Coturnix japonica: one gene and its partners. The protein of the gene in region 3 interacts with the protein of the main gene of each other region in a pairwise test. Links are inferred from orthologs where the notes say so. Each region holds a gene or a part of one and is shown on either strand. Other genes may lie near its edges. The genes, in order: MELTF, ABHD17A and HPGDS.

Evidence for each region.
Region 1: the proteins of HPGDS (region 3) and MELTF interact in binary tests that used the Homo sapiens proteins (3 or more experiments, as listed by UniProt). The two-hybrid records come from large-scale screens. The link is inferred for Coturnix japonica from reciprocal best matches to the Homo sapiens genes HPGDS and MELTF.
Region 2: the proteins of HPGDS (region 3) and ABHD17A interact in binary tests that used the Homo sapiens proteins (3 or more experiments, as listed by UniProt). The two-hybrid records come from large-scale screens. The link is inferred for Coturnix japonica from reciprocal best matches to the Homo sapiens genes HPGDS and ABHD17A.

Annotation. Positions count from the first base shown.
Region 1 is NC_029524.1:10,702,027-10,705,672, forward strand, and holds part of MELTF (melanotransferrin), read right to left. Parts: intron 2,991-3,646; coding exon 2,836-2,990; intron 529-2,835; coding exon 429-528; intron 1-428. UniProt on the Homo sapiens protein: Involved in iron cellular uptake. Seems to be internalized and then recycled back to the cell membrane. Binds a single atom of iron per subunit. Could also bind zinc.
Region 2 is NC_029543.1:1,377,720-1,381,829, reverse strand, and holds the start of ABHD17A (alpha/beta hydrolase domain-containing protein 17A), read right to left. Parts: upstream 2,894-4,110; 5' UTR 2,737-2,893; intron 1,619-2,736; 5' UTR 1,479-1,618; coding exon 1,165-1,478; intron 1-1,164. Other genes in the region: AN1-type zinc finger protein 5-like, read right to left, coding at 3,996-4,110. UniProt on the Homo sapiens protein: Hydrolyzes fatty acids from S-acylated cysteine residues in proteins. Has depalmitoylating activity towards NRAS. Has depalmitoylating activity towards DLG4/PSD95. May have depalmitoylating activity towards MAP6.
Region 3 is NC_029519.1:32,915,322-32,919,536, forward strand, and holds the start of HPGDS (hematopoietic prostaglandin D synthase), read right to left. Parts: upstream 2,910-4,215; 5' UTR 2,789-2,909; intron 1-2,788. UniProt on the Homo sapiens protein: Bifunctional enzyme which catalyzes both the conversion of PGH2 to PGD2, a prostaglandin involved in smooth muscle contraction/relaxation and a potent inhibitor of platelet aggregation, and the conjugation of glutathione with a wide range of aryl halides and organic isothiocyanates.

The DNA of each region.
Region 1 (3,646 bases), on a different chromosome or scaffold from region 3:
TGATTATCCTCGTGGATGGTTTAATTCTCTTCGTCTATTGTTTTAGATAATTCATAGCATTAAGACTTAAGGATCTTAAGAGACCGTGAAGTCACTTAATCTGACTTACGTGGATCAGAAGCCACTCAGTCCATTCATCTCTGACTAGTGCTCAAAACCTAACAGAGACAGACAGACACTGGACTGTGAAGACATTTTGTTTTGAGCACTCAGTGTCATGATGTACTTAGTGGTGGGGCTGGGCTGCTGCCCTCTGTTCCCCATTTCCTCCCATACTCTATAATGAACAGGAATATCCACTAGTGAACCAAAGACCTGGAGTTCAGGGTCTTCAAGTAAAGGATCCCAAAATAAAATAGAAACAGTAGAAATGCATCAGAAAATAAACTTGTATTAAGTAACCCAAGAGTTTTTTAGTCTGATTATACCTTGATTATAAACTTCCCCAACCACAGGTTTCAGGCCATGCTCCTTTCCAGCCTGGTAAATCCATCGACCATCCAATGTCACCGCATCTGCCAAGTAATCCTGTGCAGACACAAGGTAAGAATGCATGTTGAAGCTTAGAATTATGCTGGATTTTAAGTAGGCACAGATAGGGCCGTCCACAGCAGCAAGGAGAAAACTGCTACACATCCTCCTGCTCTACAGAACCTGTGTTATCTGTTCATTGTGTACTGAACCTGGTGCCCAGGAGACAGCATCTCCAACAAGCTGAGAGATGGCCAAGAAAACAATCAGCAGATTGACATTTTGCATTTCTAAGGTGATGCCAAGCTTCTTACCATTTTGCTTTACCTCTGGTTCAGAACCAGAAAGGGTAGTAGGCAGTATCACTTGGCATTATGCTGAGCATTGGTTAGGGTAGGGCTAGGACTAGTAGAAAGCTATTTTCCCCAGGCTGAGACACATAAAATGTGACAAGGGATCATCTGAGAGTGTTGACAATACACTCTGGAACCTATGTCAGATTTGAAGATGTCATGTAATTTGAAGCATATAACTGAATTGTCTCAAATGAGAAAAAAGTTACTGATTAGCTGAAACATTAGATGTCTTGAGAGCTGTTTCTTATGAATGAAAGTTGAACCAATTTCCAGGAGAACCTGTAGAGTAGTTCAAGCTGGGAGATGTTCGCATCTTAAAGAACAGAAGCAGTCTGGAATAACCTGATCCAATATTCCATTGGGGAGAGTCAGGGCCCAGGACAACAATTTGGGAACCAAACAGAGTCTGCTGTTTAGCAGAGATACCTGACAGCAGGAGGAATTGGGAGTCAGAAAGACCTGACCCACAGGGAAAACAAAATGAGCCTCTGGAAGTGGTGGTGAAAAGAAAGCATAGCAAATAGAATAGGATGGGTTGCCCACAGGAGACCAGGACTGTACTATGTGTATATTATTTTTCCATCAAAGACAGTAGTAGTTTTACAGGCTACAGACTTCAGCTCCTTTAAGTACATACTGCGATAGCAGCTGAAGCGGAATAGCAAGAATAGCGTGGGTATTTCTGTTTGTAGCAAAGATCTTCCCATACACCCAGCAAAAGCATGAGACAATCCCACATGTGATTTCTGACACAGATGCAATGGGAATGTAAGTTAATTATTTTCAGAAGGACTTTATTTCTGTGTGTCACAACACTCGAGAATTACCTACAGAGGTGCTTAATCACCTACTAATAAGTATGGCCAAATTAAACATTATCAGGTTCCTGAGTTTAATATTTAGACATTTCTCAATTTCTAAGGATCTTCAAAGAAAAATACTTTATCCATATGCTAACATGTTCACAGAACTAAGTCCAGGTTGGGTAGTGCTATAAAACAGCATATCTTTGTCTGCTGAGCCAGAGTTTCCCACCCCCCTTTTTGGCCTCAAAGAGCAGAGTTCAGCACAGATGCAGAGTCAGGTGTTCCATGCAGCCCTTAAGCTACATCTTAAGCACATAGTAGATTATTAGCACAGAAAGAAGAGGTGTCAAGGACCTTGCCTGAAGCCTTATAGTGAAGATCCACCTTATCAGAAAGCCACTTACTCATGCTATCCACCTGCAGGTTTCTGAGTTCAGCTAATCAAGTTTTACAACAGCAAGCACAAAGAGTTATTAACATATCCAGTCATCTTCCCCTTCCCTCACACTTTTCCAGGGAAGACAGTTGTGATCACCCACCTCCACATTTCCTTCAATTTCCACTTGTTGTTTCTCACTCCCTCCTAAGGAGGGAATTGTTTTCCAAACACCATTTTGCAAAGCTGAGCTTTTTGTCCAAACAGAGCATGCTGAATTAATACAGTTGGATTTGCATGCCTTCTGCTCACTGCTCTGACTACCCCACGTGCCCTGTTTGGTACTGGGAGATTTGGCTCGACACTCATTGGTATAGACAACAACTGCCATGGTGAGGCTCTGAAAAAGGAGAATTACGCAGTTTCCCTGCAGACAATCTACTTAAAGGCTCAGCAGCACAGCTTTAACTGCTGTCTCCATCCTACTACTCCACCCCTTCTTAAGTATCTGCTAAATAAATCTAATACAATTCCCAAATCAAAGATTAGTGCTTCAGAAAGAACGTTTAAGATCTTTGCTTGTGTTCCTAATGACTGGCCATATGTGACTAGCTGTAGAGAAGACACAGTGCCATGCTGGAATTCAGTTCCAGATGTACATTTTAATGTCTTTTAAAAAGAAATGTATATATGCTTTGATTTTCCAAAGACATGAATGCCATAAAGCTGATTGGATGAGACGTTCACTGCTCTGTACATTGCAATGTGATTTATTATTAAGCACACAGGGAAATTAAATCACTGACGTCTATCGTTTATAACTCACCTTGATCATCTGCGTGCAGTTAGCAGCTGATTCTCCCTCCACGCATTCCAAAGCGGGAAGGATGCCAGCCCCAGCAAAGGCCTTACTCATGTCCTTACACTTGGAAAGCTCTTGGTTAGACACTGTGCACCACCGCACACGTTCCAGGCTGAAAGCTGCAAACACAACAGCAAGAGGAAATGTTACTACAAAAGAGAGAACAGTTCAGCAGTGAGCTTTCACACTTCTGCTTTCATTCAGATTAACAAGAATACTAGAGTTATTTGGACTAGCAACAGGTCCAAGTCTGATACTGAAACTTGATGGAATTTATGACACAAGAAACAAGGGTACTCTGGAGCAGGTCACTGAGGACAGCTTGCTCATAAAGTCTTGAAGAATATACCATGGAGAGGATTGAGAGGGAATCTTATCACTGCTTACAAATACCTTGTGGGCAGGTGCCAAGTGGATGGGGCCAGGCTGTTTTCCATAGTGCCCAGCAACAGAACAAGGGGCAATGGGCACAAACTGGAACACAGGAAGTTTCATACGAACACAAGGAACAATATCTTTAGTTTGAGTGTTACAGAGCAGGGACAGGCTGCCTGGAGAGGTGCTGGAGTTTCCTCTGGAGATACTGAAGATCCACCTGGATGCTTTCCTGTGCAACCTGCTGTAGGGAACCTGCTTTAGCAGGGGGTTGGACCAGATGATTTTGAGAGGTCCCTTCCAACCCATGGGATTCTGTGAAATCTTTTTATTAACCATCAGATGCTGCAGGTTTCTGAATTTCTGTGCCAGCGTTCTTTTCACAGAAGGGCACAGTCCT
Region 2 (4,110 bases), on a different chromosome or scaffold from region 3:
CTATTTTTGGTTTAAAAAGCTGAGGATTTGGGGCCGTTCGCCCGATGGGGATTTTAAGTAATAATTCTGACAGCAGATCTTTCCTTTTTTTTTTCCCCTCTCCTGAGTCTGGCAACACACCAGACCTTGGGAGAGAGAGAAGCGAATTGTGGGAGTGACAAGGCACAAGAAATTTCCACCATAAGGGGAAAAACAACGTTCATCATCCAAATTAACACGAAGAACAGGCGCGTGGGAGCTCAGCTGGGGGAGGCAGTGCAGCCCACTCCTCCCCCAGCCCCTCACTATGGGGGGAGACGCCTCTGATTCAGCTCCTTGTGTGGTGATGGACCACCCCAAAGTGGGGATGGAGTGACTCCCCGGCAGGAAGGCAGCAGCAGGATGGAGATGGGACCTTCCTGGGCCTGTGTGTCATCCACCACTTCCGCAGGCAGATGGGGAGCGGGGCCAGCAGCGGATGTGCAGGCAGAGCAATCCCGTGGCTGTTTCCTCTCCCTGGAGATGCACAGCAGGACAGGATGGGAGCAGACAGCCCTGCCAGCAGCCTGCATGTCCCAGGTACACCTGGCACATTGCGTGGGGCCAGGCAGAGCACGCAGGCTTTGCAAAGCCCAAACTTAGCTCTGCCCCACTCACATCTGGGCCTCATGGAGGCAGCAGGGACAGCGCTGTCACAGTGAGAACAATCTATGCACCAAATTGAACTCTTCCTCCCTTACAGACCTATGGGGTGGTCTGTGACAAGCTGGACCCTGATCCCTTCTGCCTTCTGATCCTATTGTTCTTCTAAACATGCCCACTAAGTGAGAGAGCCACACCAACACAGCTTGCCCCAGGGCTGGGGGCTGCAGACCATCCCCGTGGTCTCTGTAGGGTCAGAGGTTTGTTTGGGCTCTACAGAAGCTTTGCAACCAGAGCACGACATCATCAGTGTGACATCAGAAGGGCACGTCGAGGACAGCCTCAGCCAGGAGGGGACACTGAGGTCCCTGTAGCCTGCAGCTGCACCCCGACTCCCTCCTTCAACCTGTTCAGTCCCATTCCCGATTGCAACCACAAGCCAAACAGGTTCCTAGAGCTGAGCTCACCCACCCCGCAGCACGGCGCCGGGTCGGGCCGGGCAGGGAGGTGGCATCCAGCAGGAGCCCCAGGCCCAGCACTCACCTGGCTCCTGGCACGCAGCGGACGTACATGCAACCGATGCGGTTCCCTCGGCTGCTCTTAGTGACAAACACCTCAATGTTGTCCAGCTCCCGTTGGGAATACTGGAAATCAGCCCGATCCTTCAAATGAAGCTTCCACCGCCCCGCAGCGCCGCCTCGGAGGGACCCGGTGCTGGTGCTGCCGATGGGCTCCGGCTCAGGGACCACGGCGTAGGTGGGCTCCGGGGGCAGGAAGGCCAGCTTGGCAGCGATGCGGCTGGGGCATGGCGGGCAGCAGAACAGCCAGCACAGCTGGCTGATGGACAGCCCGTTCATGATGGAAGCCGTGCTGGGAGCAAGGCAGGATCCAAAGCAATGCTGGGACGCCCCTTCCTTACCACGGCAGCCAGATGTGTGGGGCAGCCTGCAGTCCCTCAAGGGTCGGGGCGGCCGCCATCCGTGTGCCTGCAGGCAGCCTGCAAGGAGCAGGAGGACACAGATCACATCAACAAGCCGAGGGTTACACCGTGCCAATGCTTTGGACACCCCCACGTTCCTGTTGAGCCCCCCCTGCATCAAACCCATCCTCCAACACCTCCCAAGCAACCCAGCCCACGCACAGGACCCTGCAGAGCACAGTGAGGTGAGCACAGCGGGATTGGGAGCACAAACAGCTGCACATACAGCTCTGCCCCTCATCCCCCCCCCCAAATACACACACACACACACATGATGCTGGCGAGGGCCCCAAAGCACGCGTGTGCAGCTGGAGCACAGAGCTCCTAATGTAAGAAAAGGGGGGGAAAGGGGAAGGGAGGGGAAAAGAGAAAAAAAAAAGCGACTATTTTCTGCAAGTTTGGGCACAGGCTCCAGGCTGAGGAATGTCAGAGCAGCCCACACCCCGCGGGGCTCAACACAGCTGCCTCCAAAGGGCTGGGAATGAGGAGGATGGGGGGCACACAAGGGGATGCAGCCCCGACCCCTGCCCACCCCCCTCATGCTGGGGGTCTCCCTGTGCTCACAGCTGCGGGGCCACGCGTGTGTGTGACATGGGCAGGCGTGTGTCCACGCAGCAGAGGCAGGCGATGAACACACGGCTGTGCTTGCACACGCCTGTATGGTGCCCTCACCTGTGTCACCGCATGGCCAAGGGGGGGGGATGGGGATATAGGGGATATAAGAGGGGATATAGGGGATATAAGGGGGGATATAGGGGATATAAGGGGGGATATAGGGGATATAGGTGGGGGTGTTGGGTGCAGTGCCTGCTGGGTGTACACACTGACAGCCACCCTCACCCTACAGAGGGTCGCACAGACATCACAGTGGGGGGTGGGGGTACATCCCCCCCTCCTTCAGGCCCAGTCCCCGCTCCCTATTGCCCCTCTACAGCCCTATACGAGCCTCAGGCTGAGCCAGACCTATGGGGCAGGGGGGCACCGGGACCCCCATAGCACACAGAGCCCCCCCAGCCCCACACCATGCACAGACGGGCCCCCCCTCCACCCCACATCCCCCCACTTCAGCGCACACAGCGGACCCCCCGACCCCCCCCATCTCCCTCAGACCCCCCCATCCCCACACCCCCCTATACCTGCACATCCCGGGGTCTCTCGCCGCCCCCCCCTCCCTGCTGGTTGCTGTTACGGGACTCCCGGTCGCTGCGGGCCGCCGAGGCGGGGGCGGCGCTGGAGCTGCATGGCGGCCCCCCCCCAAACTCCGCCCACCGCCGGCGCGCCGGGAAGTGACGGAAGTGACAACAGCATTGCGTAGCATTGCATTGCATTGAGCTGCATTGCATTGCATTGCACTGCATTGCATTGCACTGCACTGAGCGCTCCCCCCCCGCAGTGCTGGCACCTTCCCAGCGCTGCATGGTTGCCTTCCTGCAGCGTGGAGCTCAGGCTGCCAATCAATGGGGAAGGTTCTCTCCCTATAACTCCTGCATAGCTCCACATTTCCACCGTGGGGTTCCTCTGCATTGCAATCTTTGATGCAATGGGGCTTCAGCATAATGCAGCAATGCCAACCCTCCTTCCACCCCATTGCTTCAGTTCCCTTCCCCAGAGCCTCAATGTTTGCTCTCATGTCCCCCAAAGCCCCCCATATATCCTCCCTTCCCCAGGTGAATAGCCTCCATTCACACTTTGCTCCCCCCACCAATGGCCCCCCTTGTGCTTCTCCTCCCACCCCACAGCACTATTTGCTTCCAGGCCCTGACCTGTGTCACTGCAAGCCACAAAATAACTTTACTGTGCCATACTCTGCAGCTTAACGATGCAGTTGCTTCAACAACAGCTTCTCAAAGGGTGGGGGAAAAAAGGGGGGTGTGGGGGTTGGGAGCTTTCAAACTACAGAATCCTCTTTGCTGCATCTGAGACCAAACAGCTGTTGGGGAGCAGGGCTGGGATCGCTGCTGGGACCCCTCAGCTCTGCAGCCATTGTGGGAAGGAGGGGAGTGGGGTGGAGGGAGGGGAGTCTGGAGGCAGCTCGGAGCTCCAGCCGTGAGTCCCAGGCAGTCTGCAGGACCTGGAGCCGTGGGACGAAGGGGTGGGTTGGATGGGGAGCAGGAATGCTGTGGTCTCAGTGCTGCAGCGGGTGAGGCAGAATCGGGCCCGTGTCCTCGTGAAAGCTGGACTGAAATGGATCTGCTGAGCCCTGAAGGGTTGAAGGGAGAGGAGGAACACCATGCTTCTGTCAAGGAGGTGCAAGGAGTATCCCGGTCTGGGTGCTGGTTTGCGTGTGCTGCTGGATCCCCATATCCACTGACGGGGCTGGGAGGAGGGGGGAAGGCTGGGAGGACGGGGAGGAGCACCAGGCTGCCAGGCTGGAGTTCGAGCTGCTCGGCCCCGTTCACAGCTTCTGGATCTTCTCAGCTATAACGACGGGGTTCTCCTTCCGGATCTTCTCAGCAGCTTCTGCCTTGTAGTCGTAGGGGCAGGCGTGCATGTCTGAGTATCGGTGAATG
Region 3 (4,215 bases):
TGTGAATCTGCAGCACAACTGCAGATAGTCAAAATAAAACAATGCTGCAGACATCAACTGGTGGACGTCTCCAGAACTGCCCACCAGATCTTCTTTACCCTCTTGCTCTGCTCTGGAGTGGTGGCACACTTTGCTCTGTCAGACCCAGTGCTCTTATTTTCTGATTGCAGTGGTGTCTTTCCAGTTAATTTGATGTTAATTTCACAGCAGAATGAGCCAGAGGAGACAAAGGGTTAAGGTGCTCCTTGGACTTCGCTGGTCTTGTCCAACAGACTGGTAATGAGAAGTGTGGACCTATAGCTCTGAGCAATACTTGGTCTAACGGCTGGGGATCACCTACATCTGGTGGTAAATGTCCAGTTTCTACTGACTTATGCTCACCAACTGCTTGACATGTAAAGCCTCAACCTATCTGTTGCTACACTTGAGAGTAATGCACTTACTGAGCAGTAATTTTCAGCCATTTTAGTTTTTTATAATGGAAGCCACAGGCACTGGGACAGTGCTAATGATTGTGGGTTCCTTGGTCTGTGCCCAGGTCTTGGTACAAAATACTTATCTGAAGCAAGCAGCTAGAGACTTGTGTTCTTTTTGGCTGGCAAGTTATTGTACCACAGCAAGTTTGTAAAGCACTCCTACTTTTTGTACATCCTTATGTGTTATCATAGAAAGGTTTGGGATGGAAGGGACCTCAAGGATCATCAAGTTCTAACCTCCTACCATGGATAAAGATGCCAACTGCTAGACCAGGCACTAGGCTGTGCCGCCCTGGGCCCCATTCAGCCTGGCTTTGAATACTTCCAAGGATGTTACATCCACAGCTTGTCTGGGCAACCTGCACCAGTACCTCAGGAGTTTCTCTGTGGAAAAACTTCTCCCTGACATCTAATTGATGTATCCCCTCCTTCAGCTTAAAACAATTTCCCCTTGTCCTGTTCTGATCTATCCATGTAAAATGTTGATTTTTCTCCTGTTTATAATCTCCCTCTAAACACTGAAAGGAGACTTGCTTCTACTCAAGCTCGGCTCAGCACAAGACTATATGGAGTATCCTGACGTTAATTATCTGGGAGCAGGAGTAGGCAGAGGTAGACCATGAAGGTCCACTCTTCCACCTCCACAAATACCACCTGGTACAAAATAGGCAGGTGGTATCACAGGATTCCTCTGTCATTTGTTACCCAGATCCAAAGCATAGAAACATCTGTCTGTTATTAGCTGAATGCCCTTGTTTTTTCTCCTATTTAATTTCAGGCTCTTACTTTTAAAGAGTCATTCCAGCACTATTTTCCAGTCTCTTCTAAGGAGGGGCAACACTAAGTATTTAACTTTCTCAGTTCATTGCTATAGTTTATTTTATGGGAGTGCTAGTAGTTGGACTCCAGATACGTGAAGTTGTTTACACTGTGTATGAGCTGTGTGGGTATGGCAGATTCTATTTATTTTCCTCCTGGATTAACTAGTAACAGGGTGAATACGTTTGATTATTTGAAGTTTGCAGCCTGCATGATAAGCCTCCATATATTCATGTGCATATCTTTCAGCAGCATGGCATGCCAATTGTTAATCAGCAAGTGGCACACCAACCTAACCAGCAATGGCTGCTAGTGTAATAAATTGCTAGTGTGATTTTGCTCAAAAGTGATCCATATTTTCAACAATTTCTGCTTTCTAGCAGCTGAGCAGGAGGCTGTGCATGAGAAACAGCTACTAGAAATCTTGAGCAAACCCTGAGATTACAGGCTATCTCCATCAGTGGTGTAGGTGTTCACTACTTTGAGGACAACACATTTGTATCTGCACAAAACTGGAATTCAAGAAGTCATCTTGTCTAATGGATGGCTTTCAGCAGAGAAAATATGCCCAGGACAATTATGCACACAGACAAATGAAGGCAGCAAGATTTTAAAGACAAAAATCCTGGACAGATACTTAGAGAATCCTTTTGAAGTAGAAGATAAAAACTGTGTTTTCGAATGGAGAAAAATACATTAAGTAGAAACAGTTACAGAAGGATTTCTTCCATAAAATAATGGTAGGAATTAGAATGAGAGCCAGAGAACAGGTGGGAATTTGGAAAACGAATAGAACAGTGAGTAAAAATGATCTAGAGGAACTGGTTAGTGCTGCTTAATATGTATCTAATTCTCTGACATTAGCCTAGATTTGTTTTGGTTACATAAGCAAGTGCATGTGTTAGTCATTACATCTAGCAGAATATTGCTCAAAAATGCTCTCTTGCTTACTGGAAGCCCTCTGCAGAGCCTTGCATGCTTAACCCATGTTAGTTTTTTATGTATTTTTTGCCTTTTGAATGCATTGCTCTGACAGTTATCTGAAGTGAGAGCTGCTCAGTGCTGATTGCATCAGCTACTAATGAGAGATGGGGACTTGCTGCAGTCTGCAGAAGATATAACTGATCTGATAGAAGATATCTGAGAAGATATAGCTGAAGCTTGTTTGTGGCAGTGCGAACATCTATACAGGTGTCAAAAGTACAGGTGGAAGCTTAATTATGTTTGTAAGCAGCTAAAAGGGGGGTATATAGTGCAGCTGAATTGTAGAGCTCAGGGTTATCCCTCAGCATGCCAGCAAGCATCAGCCATAGAAGTTCAATAAACTTAACAAAATTATAAAAATGAGGTACTCTCAGAACTTGTCATTCAAATAGTGTGATTTTCAGACAGCAAATACTGTGCAGCTTCTTAAGCAGCAGAAGGAGATCAGGAGAAGAAAGTGGGAAGAAGAGAAACTATATTGCAGTAAGCAAAGCTGAAATAGGACTCACTTGGCTGCAGTGGTGCAGTCTCTTCGTCGGTGCACAGGAGGTGCTCTGAAGGCTGGCCCTTGTGGGAAAGGCTTACATATAGTGTTTGTTAACATGCAAACCACTCCCCCAGTGACAACTCTGCCGATCCTGACTCTTTCACACTATCTCGCAAGGCAAATGCATCATTTCCTTGGGAAAGAAGCAAGCCTGGGGACTTTTAAAAAAATAATTATTAACTATTACACTGAGACAGAAGATTGTTTTATTTACTTATTTATTTATTTAATTAAGGAGGGAGCAAGGTACACAATGTGTCTTTGATCTTTAACAGAAAGCCCTTCAGCTCTGACTGAGTTAAAGGACAAGAATTTAAGTGGCTGTTATTACGTTAAAACACAGGAGACAAATAAGAAAAACAAACAAACAAATAAAGCAAATTCAACTTCCAAGTGCTTTCATAAAGAGATTTGGGAGCTTCTTACTGTTAACAGTGAAGGGGGAGAAAGGGGATTCTAGTGAACTTTGCACATAAATAACACATGCTAGTACTCTGCACTCTGTTACTGTTCTTATCACTTGTGGAAATTAGGGGTGTTTGTTTTTTTACGTAAATAATGCTTAAATATCTGAATGATTTCATAAAAATATTAACATGACCTTTTATCCTTTGTCCCAATGGTGAGCAAGGCTGAATACTAATACTTATGAACTCTTTCATATAATCCACGATTAATTATTGTTTTTTTTTAATTTCACTGTTCTGTTTTCTGAAACAAACATTAGAGGATCATTATTTTGTACCATTACCTGTTTTAAAGCCATTCTCCATTGTCCTGTCACTAACAGATTGTGGAAGAAGTTGATCCCCTTCCTGCTGGTAAGTTCCCTTCAAGTACTGGCAAAGCTGCAATGGGTTCTCCACAGAGCCTTCACTTTTTTAAGCTAAATAAGCTCAACTCCCTCAGCCTCACTCCTATGAAGATAGGAGCGGTTCTCTGGTTTTTACAGCATTTTGCACTGGAATGAACTCACTTGAATATGAGATAATATCAAAGTCTAAACTATGAAGTACAACACTGCATTGTTCTACCAACTGCAGAGGATCAGAAAGTTGAACAAACTCAGTGACCAGTATTTTCCCTTCAAAACTGCAGAAGAGAGAAAATGGGGTAAGCTTTTGTCCTGTCAATTAATGATCAACTGTCTTCCTACCTGGTTTTCATTAGGGGTTTTAAAAACTTCGAGTCATCTCCAGTTTGTGGAGTGTCAAAGAATGTGCAAATTCATTGTAGTTGGCTTGCAATGCCAGTGCACAGACCAGAGTGTGTCTTTCTCCAAAGGGCCTGCTCTAAAGAAAAGTGACAAGGTAAAGAAGGGCAGCAGAATCCAATTTTATATATATATATACAATTTTTTATTTTTTTTTTAAAGCTTTTCAAATAAGC